Linked DNA regions of Schizosaccharomyces pombe. The gene in region 1 interacts genetically with each later gene. Each region holds a gene or a part of one and is shown in the gene's direction. Other genes may lie near its edges.

What was found. A genetic interaction does not mean that the proteins touch.
Region 2: mutations in ung1 (region 1) and spo4 together harm fitness more than expected from each alone (negative genetic interaction), as found in Schizosaccharomyces pombe (one large-scale study listed by BioGRID).

What each region holds. Positions count from the first base shown.
Region 1 is NC_003421.2:601,180-609,253, forward strand, and holds ung1 (uracil DNA N-glycosylase Ung1), read left to right. Parts: upstream 1-1,794; 5' UTR 1,795-1,857; coding exon 1,858-2,084; intron 2,085-2,141; coding exon 2,142-2,474; intron 2,475-2,541; coding exon 2,542-2,950; 3' UTR 2,951-3,225; downstream 3,226-8,074. Other genes in the region: DNA repair ligase Lig4, read right to left, coding at 1-706, 761-846, 886-982, 1,048-1,147, 1,188-1,250, 1,338-1,348, 1,393-1,624; protein Spo13, read right to left, coding at 3,226-3,626, 3,678-3,693; U3 snoRNP-associated protein Rrp5, read left to right, coding at 5,158-8,074. UniProt on the Schizosaccharomyces pombe protein: Excises uracil residues from the DNA which can arise as a result of misincorporation of dUMP residues by DNA polymerase or due to deamination of cytosine.
Region 2 is NC_003423.3:3,825,547-3,831,626, forward strand, and holds spo4 (serine/threonine protein kinase (DDK family) Spo4), read left to right. Parts: upstream 1-1,631; coding exon 1,632-2,625; exon of another isoform or gene 2,626-2,747; coding exon 2,748-2,915; exon of another isoform or gene 2,916-3,175; coding exon 3,176-3,303; 3' UTR 3,304-3,414; downstream 3,415-6,080. Other genes in the region: protein psg1, read right to left, coding at 58-527, 578-668; SBDS family protein Rtc3, read left to right, coding at 4,621-4,941; C2 domain protein Git1, read right to left, coding at 5,651-6,080. UniProt on the Schizosaccharomyces pombe protein: Required for the initiation of meiosis II and progression through anaphase II.

The sequences.
Region 1 (8,074 bases):
ACATTCCGTAACTCTGCTTCAATATCTTCAATAGTACTGCCGACCTTGTAAGGTAGAATACTCATACGATGAGATTCGCGAACAATTACTTTCTCTAATATTCGTCTTCTTGATTCTAATGAGTACTTTACCAAAGACTTCCCATTAAGATACAAAATATCGAACACAACGTAATAAGGGCTGTAGGATGAATGAGAGGAAGAATCTTCAAAAATGCTTCTTAAACTTCCGTATGGGATCACTGTTTCCAACACTGGATCCCATGTAACCATTTCTCCATCAAGAATAATTTGTGAAATACGTTTGTCAAATGCTCCAATGATGTATTGTGTCAGCCTAGATTGTTCATCGAAATAACTAGAGCCATAGGCATAAGTGTACGACCTGGCATTTCGACTATAGAATTGGAATTTTCCTGAACTCATGTGTAATTGAATACGCTCCCCGTCTAGCTTTTCTTCAATCCAAAACGGTTTATTTCCCATGGCTTCCAGCGTTTGATGGAGATCCTTTTTTTTGAAATTGGCTAGCTGAGGCTGGAAGCAACTAAAGACTTCCACATCTGTTTCAGTTTCATCAAGAGACCGACTAGGATCATAGAGCTCCCAACAAATTCTCTTTAAGGAGCTACACAGTCGATATAATCGAGCTGCATCAGGATGGAACACAGAAAGTATGAATTTTTCCGATGTTCCGTATTTTCGAACTAAAGAAATAAAAAAGTTAGGTCATAAATAAAGAAATATCATTTCCAACCAACCTTTCAGTAAAATGGGAATTAGCCATCGAAGCTCAAGAGGACTCAAGGATCTATAAAATTGCTCCAAAATATTAACTCGGGTATCCCTTATTAAGGTTAGATACGGTAAAAAATTTAGAACATACTCAGAAGAAGCATCTGCTAATTGATCCAGCAGGGCGTTGACATCACCAACTGTAAAGGCACCAGGAAAGGTCCTGTATGCCCTTCTTTGTAAAATATCTAAATTTTTTTCAGTTAAAATATGATCAGGATCAATTGGAATACAAAAACTATGATGAACACACCCTGCAACATGGTAGAAAAATCTCCAGTATGTTTGGACTCGGATCCTCTCCAATTTTTCAAAGATTTTGCATCTTCAGAAGTAGGACTCAAATGCATAGCCTTGTTAATTAGTCACTGATGTTGCAACTTAATTACTTACTCGAATAAACAGTTTTCCAAGCCCAAATTCCTTGAACCCATATGATCCTCTTTCACGATCCAACTAGAAAATTAGCAATTAGAAATTCAAGACACCGATTAAGACACTTTATGTAATGCGATTTAGTGGTCTAACAATTTTAAGTCGTACATCAGGAAGCACTCCATTAGTTAGTATAAGGAATAAAATACAAATATTAAATTACTTAGTCGAAGTAATGGATAAAGATCTGGTCCTACATGTTGTCGCCATTTATTAAAGTAATCCAAGAGGATTTTGCGCTTTAATTCATAAGGGTCAAGGTTTGATGTTTTGGATTTCCTAGTCTTTCCAATTCTTGATAACGGTTCCAATAATGTTGTAACAAAATCATAGAATTCAAGGGTGCTTGAATGATTTTGAGGTTTCGTAAATACCGTCTCTTTGGCTTCGTCCATATCTTAGGTTTTGGCTTGAAGCAATCGTTTTATAATACAGTTTATGATCAATAATATTTCTCAAATAAATAACCGATAAGAAATAAACATCAATTTAGTCTCATTATCGTGGTAGTGTCAAGTGTGTAGTACGAACACTTCTAATTATCATACATGAAAGCCTGTTCTCTGCAACGATTCGGTGGACAGTATGTTTATGGAGCAGAGAGCTGTTTTCTAATAAGTTAGGTAAAATGACTGTTCTGAATACTACAGATAAGCGTAAAGCTGATGATACCGTTAATAAACTTGACGGGAAATTAAAGCAGCCACGTTTGGATAATTTTTTTAAGACAAACACCTCATCGCCTGCTTTAAAGGATACTCAGGTACTTGATAATAAAGAGAACAACTCTGTCTCAAAGTTCAATAAAGAAAAATGGGCAGAAAATCTTACTCCTGCTCAAAGAAAGCTGTTACAGTAAGTATTGCTTACAATGTAGGCTAGAAAATTGGAAAAGGTTGTTAACCTATTTAGACTAGAAATTGATACTTTGGAGAGTTCTTGGTTTGATGCGTTAAAAGATGAATTTTTAAAGCCATATTTTTTGAATCTGAAAGAGTTTTTGATGAAGGAATGGCAAAGCCAACGTGTATTCCCGCCGAAAGAAGATATCTACTCATGGTCACATCATACTCCACTTCATAAAACCAAGGTCATTCTCTTAGGACAAGATCCTTACCATAACATTGGTCAAGCCCATGGTCTTTGCTTTTCCGTACGTCCAGGAATTCCATGTCCACCAAGTTTGGTCAACATATATAAAGCCATCAAGATCGATTATCCTGATTTTGTTATTCCGAAAACAGGGTACGTTAAAATTATTTAGTCTTTATATTTTTTCTTTCTAAGATTTGGCTTTTTGCTAATGAAGCAGGTATTTAGTTCCTTGGGCTGACCAAGGCATTTTAATGCTCAACGCTAGTTTAACTGTAAGAGCCCATCAAGCTGCTTCTCATTCTGGCAAGGGTTGGGAAACTTTCACTTCTGCTGTCCTGCAAGTTGCGTTGAATCGGAATCGCAAGGGTCTTGTAATTTTAGCATGGGGAACTCCAGCAGCTAAGCGACTTCAAGGTCTTCCTTTGAAAGCACACTATGTACTTAGAAGTGTCCATCCTAGCCCTCTCTCTGCACATCGTGGCTTTTTTGAATGCCACCATTTCAAGAAAACCAATGAGTGGCTCGAAGAGCAGTATGGACCTGAAAAATGCATCAATTGGAGCGCTGTTTCTGAACAAAAAGCAAAAATAAAGTCTAGCGAGTTGGAATCCTCTTCAACTGAGTAGAAAAAGTCAGAAAATAATTGCTCGTTTACTGGATGCTAATAGGTCTAATCAAGCTTTTTATTTTCTTTTGTCATGCTTGCTTTATTATACCACTTGCATGCTTATCTTTATTCTACCTACAATTGGACTTGCTTAATGTGTGTTATTTTTCTATGTCTTTCTTTTCGCAGAGGATTTATTTTTTTTTTGTCTTAACATTTAAATCATTCATTTTAAAGTTTAATATTTATGTCAAATCCATCGTAAACGGCACATTTATTAAAGACTTAATGTAATCAGTGGTAATTTGATTCGTTAGAATAACTCAGTAATTTTCTGGCTTCGATTGAAGTTCGGACAGCAGTTTGGATGCTTCTTAGTTTCCCAATACGTCCTTTTTCTTTTGCCCTGAGATAGTCCAATTCTCTTTTTAATACTTCTGTATCCTGCCTTGCCTTGGCCACCATTTCGTTTGCTTCAGTGAACAGTGAAACCGATAAATCTTCCATTTCTTTCTGACTTTGCTCAAGCAATCCTTCCAACTCTTCTCTTCGTTGAACCTCTCTCGAAAGTTGTTCCTTCAAATGGGTTATTGCTAAAGTATTGGCATTGTTTAATTGTTTATTCGTGCTTTCTTTTAAAGCATTTTCATTCGAATTTTCCTTGTTAGAGATAGAGCTAAAAAGCTTTGAAATTTCTACATGTTAGAAAAAATTGTTTTATATTGTATTGTCATGTTGTCCCTTACGAGAATTGCTCATCATTGTTTCAATTTTTTTTCCTTTCCTATAAAATACTAATTGCTAACTTTTTTTTCAAAAGTACAGTGGTTTAAAGTTGTTTGCTTAGAGAAAATGTCATTTGTTGACACAGTACATATGGCTGTTAACCGTAATATAAATGACAACAAACAGGAGAAAGACTTCGTTAATGTTGAAGAATCATCCGTTTATTATTTTTATCAGTTTGCTTTGTTTCTTTTTTATTTATATTTTTTTGCGTGAATTTTATGAGCAATACATTCAATATACAATTTATGGAACATTGAATCAATTTCACTGAAGAAATAAATTTATTTTATCAATTTCATACAAAAATTTTTTTTACCCAATACAGGAAAGAATTAAGTGAGCCTCATTTCGTTTTTTACAACAAAAATTATCGAACAATAAACGAAAGAAACAAAATGTAACAATTTCTCGGTCCTTGATTTCAAATCAAGATACTTGAGCTATAAAGATGCTTTGAATTTATTATCATATTCTATATGAGCTTCAAGCATATACTTACAATTACAGAGTGCAATTCCTCATTTCATTTTCATGTCCACTGCTATTGTAACCTGCCAAAGTGTAAACAAAACATTCATTCGGGTAGGGTAGGGTTAAAATTGTAAACGAAACACTAATCTAACTAACGAGAGCTTAAAAAAATTGCTGCGAACAATAATAAATAGAAGAGGGTATAAAAACTTACAAGACAATTTTGAACCCTTGAATGCTATAAGTAACGAAAAGAAATAATGGAGGTAAAAATTAATATTTCAAAGGAAATTCGGAAATAACCTTTTCGACGGTCAACATTTAGATTGAGGAGAAGGTTTTTGACATTCACTATCGATGCCATTTCAACTGGTAAGCGCTAAAAACAAGGGTTTACGCAAAATTCTTTTTGTACCTGTGATAAATATTGTATTTCTATTGTAATAGCCAATTTTTTCATCCTATGTATCATGGAAATGTCCGGCGTAATAAACTTACAACCGCGCTGTTCCTAATTTTGTTTCATTGCTACAAAAATTAATCAAAGAAAAAAAATAAACATCCCCAAGCTTCGTAAATTTAGATTTATCGTTTCATTTGCTTGTACCAACAAGCATTCTGGCATTTGCATTATTCATTATGAAATTAATAGTGTATGCAGTGCGAATAACTAAGATAAAAAAAATTAAGAAGAAAAAAAATTAAATTAAATGATCAATTTGTAAGTTTTTCTGTTTTTTGCCATGTACAATCGCATATATTGTTTGTGCACCTTTTTTAAGTTCCTCAACTCTCATATTATTGCGTAGTACAATATTCATCGTTAAAAGAAATTCTCATGATGCGTTACCCTTCCTAGACTATTTCTTTTGTAGCAGCAGCATAAATTTACTCGCTACCAACTACTTTGTATAAAAAGCTTCTTTCTTCCAGTCGTTCTTTCTTTTCAGAAGTTCATAGAAGTAAATGGCTGGAAATAAAAGAAAGAGGAGCAATGCCTCCGAAGGCTCGGATTCCCAAGGGAATGAGAGAATTTCTTCTTTGAGTGCTAACGAGGCAACTCAAGATTTCCCTCGAGGTGGGGCGTCTTCATTGACTCCTTTAGAGTATAAAGAAGCTGTTTTAGAGGCTAAGAAGGACTTTATGGAGTCCGCTTCTGGTACCGCTGAATTGAGTAAAAAAACTCGTCCTAAGAAAAAGGGTAGTAAAAAATCTTCCAAATCCGAATTGGACAACGAAGAAAATTTGAAGGTTCATATTCAAAGCTTAAGATATAAAAATATCACACCCGGCTCTTTAATTTTAGGTCAAATTGCTCAAATAAATACGTTGGACTTGGCCGTCTCATTACCAAACTGTTTGACAGGTTATGTACCTATCACAAATATCTCCGATAAGCTTTCTGATCGTCTGGATAGTATTGACAATCATGCAGAAGATAATGCAGCAACTGAAGAGGAAGACGGTCTTAATCAAATACCGGATTTGATGGATTTGTACAAAGTTGGTCAATGGGTGCGTGTTTCTGTTACAGCCCTTGGCTCGGAAAATACTACAAAAACCGGAAAAAGACACATCGAGCTAAGTCTTAAGCCGCAAGATGCGAACGGTTCTGCTCCTGAGGCTGCGGATTTTGTTGCTGGGTCGATGATACAGGCCGTGGTTTCAAGTATTGAAGATCATGGTATTGTTTTTGATATTGGTATTAATAATTATACTGGTTTTTTATCCAAAAAACACATAAATGATTTCCCTTTTGTTGAAGGCCAAAGTTTATTGTGTTCCGTTATTTCAAAAGAAGATCGAATTTTCCATCTTTCTCTCACTGCGACATCCACTAAGGCGCTTGAGGTTATGCCTTCTGTACAAGCTATTCTTCCTGGTGACTATATAAATGTTTTGGTAACGGACATCAAGGAAAGCGGAGTTATTGCAAAATATATGGGTGTAGTAGATGTCACTAGTGATATTTATCATTCTTCTCCCGTGAAAGGGGAAGATTTAGAAGATAAATTCCAGCTTGCTAAATCTGTTCCTGCTCGCGTTCTTTTTGTGATTCCCGGTGATCCCCCTAAAATTGCAGTATCTTTCTTACCTCACGTGCTTACCTTCAACTTCGCAACTCCCAATACTCCACATCCCGATCAACTAGATATTGGTTTTATCGTCAATGCTGCTAAGGTTACGTATGTATCCTCCTCACTTGGCGTTTTTTGCGATGTTGGTGTACCTGAGATATCCGGATTTGCTCACATTTCACGCCTTTCCGATAAAAAGGTTGCTGGAATTAGTCCCAATTCTGGCCCCTATAAAGTTGATAGCACCCACGAGGCTCGAATCATTAATTACAGTTATGTTGATAATTTATATATCTTGTCATTTCAACAATCTGTATTAAACCAGCAGTTTTTGCGAATAGAGGATATCGAAGTCGGTCAATTTGTCGATGGTACCATTGCGAAGCTTATACCTCAAGGAATCGTGGTAACTATTTCGGAAGGTATAAATGGTTTAGTTCCCTCTACCCATATGGCTGACATAGCCCTACAGTTTCCTGAACGTCGTTTTAAAGTTGGCTCTTCCGTAAAATGCCGTGTTTTAAGTACGAATGTTCTACGAAAGCGTGTCCTCTTAACTCTCAAAAAATCATTACTTAACACAGATTTGCCATTGATATATGACTATGAACAAGCTACCCCAGGAACACAAACAGTTGGAACTCTTGCTCGTATTTTTGAAGATGGAGCTATAGTTGAGTTTTACAACAGTGTCCGTGCTTTTCTTCCCGTTTCGGAAATGAGCGAAGCTTACATTCGTGATGCTAGAGAACACTTTAAAGTTGGGCAAACACTTTCTGTTACTATCGTCAGTTGTGATCCAGAGAATCGTAAAATGCGTGTCGGCTGTCGTGAGCAGAGTTGGGATGCTAAAAGACTTGAAAGATTTGAAAACATAAAAGCGGGTTCCGTACTTTCAGGTATTGTTCTTCAGAAAACCGAAGATTCCGTGATCGTTGATTTAGGAGACAAGGTTACTGGTGTGATTACCCTTGGCCAACTTTGCGATGGAGATTTAAATAAATGCTCTAAAGTCATGAATAAATTAAGAGCTTCTACCAAGCTTGCTGAGGTCTTAGTTCTTCGTAAAGACACCAGTAAAAAGTTGATTTCCTTGTCATTGAAGAAAAGCCTTGTTGAAGCTGCCAAGGAAAATCGGATGCCCATCAATATCACTGATCTTAAAGAAGGTATTAAATATTTTGGATTCGTGCGTAATGCGACTACATTTGGCGTTTTTGTCGAGTTTTGTGACGGTTTAGTAGCATTAGTTCCAAAGGCCTATATATCTGAAGAGTATGTGCCAGTCCCTTCAGCAGTCTATAAACCCCAGCAATCCGTTACCTGTGTGTGTTTGTCCGTAGAGCTTTCACAAGAAAAGGCGTTTATGTCATTTAAGCCTCTTGCGCAGAAACAGGAGAAAGCTGTGGAATTTATGGAAAGCAAGTACGATATCGACAATCCAGTCGATGAAACTATTAAAAAGACGTATGACTACGTTGCAGGAAAAATTACCTGGGCTGTTGTTACATCTGCTAAAGCTTCTCAGCTTAATGTTGATTTAGCTGCTAATGTGCATGGCCGTGTTGATGTTTCTGAGGTTTTTGATAATTTTGGAGAGATTGTTGATCCCAATAAACCACTTAAAAGATTTCATAAAGGTGATAAAATTCGAGTTCGCGTCTTAGGTATTCACGACTCAAGAAATCATAAATTTTTACCGATATCGCATAGAGTGTCTCCGAAGCAGTTTTTAGAGTTGAGCGTACGCCCTTCAATATTGAACATGGAGCCATTCAGTATGAAAGAACCTCAGTTCAAAAAGG
Region 2 (6,080 bases), on another chromosome or scaffold:
TAGAAACAGTTCTGATGAATGAGATAGTATATTTTTTGGCGCAGAAAAGTAGAAACGCTAATGCTTTCTATATGAAGACATTTCCAGCTCTTTCTCGTTTTTTAAAATCCTTCTTTCTCTCCTAGTTGCAAAATGAAGAAATAGAACGATCAGTATGCAACAGGATAAACCAACGGATAACCCAATTGCAAGTTTCTTGTCAATCGGGTTTACAGAAAATGCAGGGGAAACATCCACTACCATCTTCCAGTAAAACGTGTTCGCTAATAGGACCTGTGGACCCACATATACCGTGCTGGCGGTACCATTTTGAGGAACAGCAACAACTCGCGCAGTAATGTTGTCCATCTTCATAAGCCATTTCTTATCTATCTTTACCATCCAGTAAGTTTGGTTGGAAGGAATAACACCACTGCTCGTAATCAATGTGTTATTGGAGTCGGCATATTGCAAAGCAATTTCGACAAACTGTTCAGTGGGTTGTTTCCATTTGACAGCATAAGTAAATCCTCTAGCCCATCGAGAATCTTAAACAAAAGTCAGTTTTACAATACTAAAAATTAAATAAAAAACATACCTTCAGCAGGAGTGATGAACTCAAATTCAGCCCGAACAAGATTGATAAAAGTAAGGATTAAGAATAAAGCAGATCCTAGAAAGAATTTCATTTTGTGAACCCGAAGTTTTCTTTGTAGCTTAAAAAAAATAAAAAAACGGTCTTCTCTAACGTGAATCTTACAATGTCTTTAGCATAGACTCAGTGATACGGCAATTGTCTGCGGAAGATACATCAACAGCCAGGGACGGAAGTGTAAAATTAACTCGTACTCGTTAATGCGATATCATTGTATATATTCGAATGATACTGTTATCGTATTCAACAAAAAAAATTAGTAAATCCTTTTTAGAGTGGAAATATATGAGTTGAAAATGCTGTCATCAGAACCCAGATAACTTTACACTAATAAAATAAATTTCGGTTATTCGTTTGCCGTATCCGCATGGCTTAAAGTATAGAAAGAAAAAGCTATTTATAACAGTCTAGCATATAATTATGTTGGAAACGAACTGCAGTAGTAAGCAGTAAACAATAAACAAAAACCTTTAACAATGTACAAGAAATAAACAGAAAAAATAATAATATTAAATTAATTTAGTAAAGAATCAACCAAGTGTTGAAGAAATCTCAAAAATTGGTTATGACAGGTGTGCTGTTTATTGTTTACATACTAAAAAATTTTGATAAATTATGCTTTCGTTCTAAATAGGACTCTAAATGTTACCAGTTATAGAGCTAAAGTAAATTTTTTTATAAAGGAAATATATGTAATTTAAATTACTAGCTGGTCTAGTAATTTACTTTGACACTGTCTACCGTTTAATGATGATCATGGATTGAAAATTTGTATAAACAAATTGGAGTGCTTCATTGGCATCATTTGTTTACATTTTCATTTGCTTTGGGCCGATATAGCAAAGCTTAGGGAACAAAAAGTAAGTTTTGCTTAGAGGGAAATATTTGGGTTTGGCGAAGTAAACAAACAAACAAACTATTAATGAAAATTGTGCCTCATCTAACAGCCCGCACTTTACCAAACAAAAGGCGACTAAAATAAAAATTAAAACAGGAAATGCTTTCCATGCTATTACCTTTCGGAAATTCAGGTGTATACGCCAGTGATGTAGATCGAGAAGATCGACCAGAAATTGCTAAATTGGTGCAAGCATTCCCTACCATTGAAGAAGACTATCATGTGGTTAAGTTAGTAGGAGCAGGAAGTTTTAGCAGCGTCTTTAAAGCGGTGGATAGACATTTCGATAGCTACGATAACTCCTACTGGATATCATCTCAAATAGAAGATCAGATGCCCCATGACAAAACCAAGAGACCAAAAAACCATTTTGTTGCATTGAAAAGAATTTATGCCACCGTTCTTCCCTCAAGAATCCAAACTGAACTTGAGATGCTACATGAACTACGAGGCAGTGATTGTGTACTAAATATGATAACTGCTGTAAGACATCAAGATCAAGTGTTAATTGTACTACCGTTTATACAACATGCAGAGTTCCGGGACTTCTATATGAAATATTCTCTTCCAGAAATTGGTGCGTACTTAAGAGACCTCTTGAAAGGGTTGGCACATATAGATGCAAAGGGCATAATTCATCGAGATATCAAACCAGGTAACTTTGCTTGGAATCCTTACACCCAAAGGGGAGTCATACTTGACTTTGGATTAGCTCAATGGCAAGAGGCAGATGCACCTACAGAAAATTGCTGTGTCGATAAATTGAGAAAACTGAAGCAAGAAGGAAAATATTACGATTATTTTCCATTTGAGAAAACGATAGCAGATCCTCCAGAGGGTTACTTGCTACATGATCCAAGGCCTACAAAACGTGCTGACCGAGCCGGAACAAGAGGATTTCGAGCGCCTGAGGTATTGTTTCGATGCCAAAATCAAACATCCTCAATTGATGTGTGGTCAGTGGGAGTCATTTTGTTGTGTTTTTTAACACATCGATATCCTTTTTTCCGCTGTGAAGATGATATCGATGCAATCGTAGAATTAGCACATATCTTTGGAAGAAATGGCATGTCAAACTGCGCATTATTACATGGTAAGTAGTTATTAAACACTTGAGCGTAAAAGTTGAAAAAACGAAGAGAGAAATCGTTTTCTAACCAATGCTTCAAATCTTTTTGAGACAACTTTTGAGGTGCTAACTTGTATTTCTCTCAGGACAAATTTGGTCAGATAACATTCCGACTCTACTAGATCAAAAGCATAATTGGCTAGACCTAATTGCTAGCATTACGAAGAATGATGAGAATTTAATTTTAGAGACAAGCTCAGATTATCAAGTGGCTTTAGCCATTGACTTGTTGGACAAGTTATTAGAATTACATCGTACGTGCAAATCCCAAAAACAAAATACTAGGAAGTGGACTAGGAGGAAAATTCTTAAATGACAAAAAAAAACGCGAACCGAAATGGCCTTTTTTTTATTGTTTCATTCATGGATTGTCTTCTTTTATGATGCTTTTTAGGTTTTTTAACGAAGCCTGGGGCTATCCACTCTGAAACTAGTATCTTGATTTCCAAACTCCAGTTGTATAAAACAACATGGCAGGAATTAATTAAAAATTGAATGGCTAACAATTATCTAGCATCGAAACGAGTAAAGGCCAAAACAGCTCTTCAGCACGAATTCTTTAATGCATGTGGGGTTACCCGGTCAGGATTTGAGGCAGAAAACCCTTTTCGAAGTGATTTCCCTTCAACTGTAGAGCAGTAGACGTGTATCTGCCAAAGATGGAGAAATTTCCACACGTCGGAATTCCATAATATCATTCAAAGTTTTATTTATTGTATCGATTAACTCTTAATAATAATGAATGTCAAAGATAAAGATATTTGAAGTTGCGTGCGTTGCAAACATCTCAAAAACCAAAGCACGTGAGAAAAGCGAATGTGTAACGGTCAAATACTAAGTACAGTAAAAGGTTAACCAAATGAGCAGACTAAATACGAAATGTTTAGATAGGATGAGATGTCTCTGACAAACATTAACCTACTTTAATCGTTACAATGCCTGTAGCGTCAAGTCATTATAGTGGAATCAGCCAACAGATGTGTCAACGTCGTCGAATAAAGTACATAAGAAACAAATCAGCAATTAAAAGTACAATAACCTTAAACTAAGAAAAAGCCGAATTCAAAATAAGCCAATTTCCTTTCTTCATAATGATAAAAGATATTTTCCAAAATGTAAACAAAAGATCGCCGAGAAGTTTCGATCATGAAAAAAGTCAAACAGTCACGTACTCCATTATCCATCTCTTTCAAACTCTTACTGACGTGGGCCATTGCGTGAGTGAAATCACTAAACAGATGATTGCGTATTGTTTACAACGTCACTAAGTGTTGATTGCGCACCGGCTTTCTAATGTGTTATTGTAAATAACGATGTTTTGTTTTTCCAGTATACTCTTTAGCGATAATGTTATGAGAATAGTATGTACACTGACTATCATATTAAAGAGGTAGGTATTGACACCTCTTAAGCTACATGTGTAAAGAGATTGATTTGTGAGCGTATCAAAGGAAAAAATGAAGTGTAATACTGAATAAAAACTACTCCTTTATTTATCTTCCAAGAGATTGAATATATAGGGGAAACATTTTTTTCTTAACTTCACACTAAACCATCTCTAAACAAAAGTCGGGCACCAGAGAGAGTAATGAAGTAGTGTAGGACAAAAGGTGCTATCGTGCGTTAATTATTTTACTGTAAGGATTTAACACACGGTAAACAAACATATCGCCTGATGTCATTATTCGCTTCCCATAGTAATGATGTAAATATGTTATGACGCTGTTAGAGACTTACGTTTAGACATATTGATGGAAAATGCATTTATTCCACCCAAATCTAATACTATAAAAGGACTTCCTTTCCCAACCTAGTTGAGCATCGTTTCACACAAAAATAAGAATTGTTTGTTTGTATTTGGATAATTCTATAGTTTGTTCTCTCTTTTCACAAGACTATTAAATTTTATTTTTTTGCATTGTCCAACCGTCTATTAATATATTTATCAATACTTCCAAAATGTCTAGCTCTAAGGCCAACCAAACCCGTGTTTGTTACCAACCTGAGGATACTACCTTTATTATCATCGCCTCAAACGGTCCCGATGTCATGAGATGGCGCAAGGACAAGACTGTTCCCTTAACTGAGATCGTCGACTCTTTTCAAGTTTTTACAACTAGCAACAACAAAGGTAACGAAGGTCAATTAATTACTGCTTCCAAACAAGAACTTGAGAATACCTTTGGTACTAGCAAGGACGTTGATGTTGTCACTAAAATTTTGACTGACGGAAAAATCATTCCCCATCGTGAACATGGCAAGCACAAAGAAGTCAACTAAATGACTAATTCTACTAGTTGAGGCTAGTTATACCACCGACTTTAATGAGTTAAAACATATGGCCCACGTATATCTATTATAGGTATTCCCATTTGTGTTATATAATGATGCAATCTGACGAAGTACACAATGTCCGCATTCCAACATTACCTGAACTTCATGGCAATTTTTGGAATCCTTTCCCGTTCCTTTGGTAATTATTCGACTTTAATCTCCTATTGCCTCTGACATTGAGTCAAGGGTTAATGTTTGTGTCTTATCTAAGGGACTTAAAGGCATTTGTTATGTTTATGTATGATTATAACTTGCTTTTATGGTTTGGACGTTCTAAAGGCTGTGCGGTTATGTGTATGCTTTACGTTAAAAAAAATCTGTTTTTGTTTACATAGAAATGTATTTATGACTTTTGTTGTAACCTGTTGTTATGGTTGTATGGTGTGTTTCATTTTTGTAGAAAATGCGTAATCATCGTAAGCATAACTTAATTTTTAGCTTTCAGCATTATTCTTGTGTACAATGCAGTGTTATAAGCTAGCTGCTTAATAAATAATTTCAGCCTAGCAACTAATACACGCGACTTTATGATAGACGTATGACATACATATTTGTATATATATAAAATAAATTAGCAACTGTGCTCATTAAATTAAAAGTATCGTTCAGTAAATTAATAAACATTAATAGAAGTCTCCATCATTACCGTAGTTAACTAACTACTCACTCTTTTGACATCCTTAGACTTTACAAAATAATAGTCTTTAATAGCCATCACACTTTTGTACTCATCGGTATTCAAAAAATCAAATGGCGCAATATCTTGAAAATTCCGAAAAAAATCGTAAAACAATTGTAACCACGAATAGACCATTTTGAGTTCACGCTTATTCAACGGAATTCTCCTTAGGGTAGAATCTGTGACTGGAGGCACTAAAATATCTCGAAATGTCTCCAACAAGCCAAACCAAAGCCGCGAAAGCAAGTAAAAAAGAGGTTTCGGGAGCAAGTTTACATAAATCCAATAAAAAAAATCATCTAGCTCTGCCAACAATGACTGCTGCTCTTTTTCACACCGGGCCTGCAACTCGTCCATCTTTTCTTTAGTCTCAGCCTCTGCGTTATCATTTTCGTCTCCATCAAGA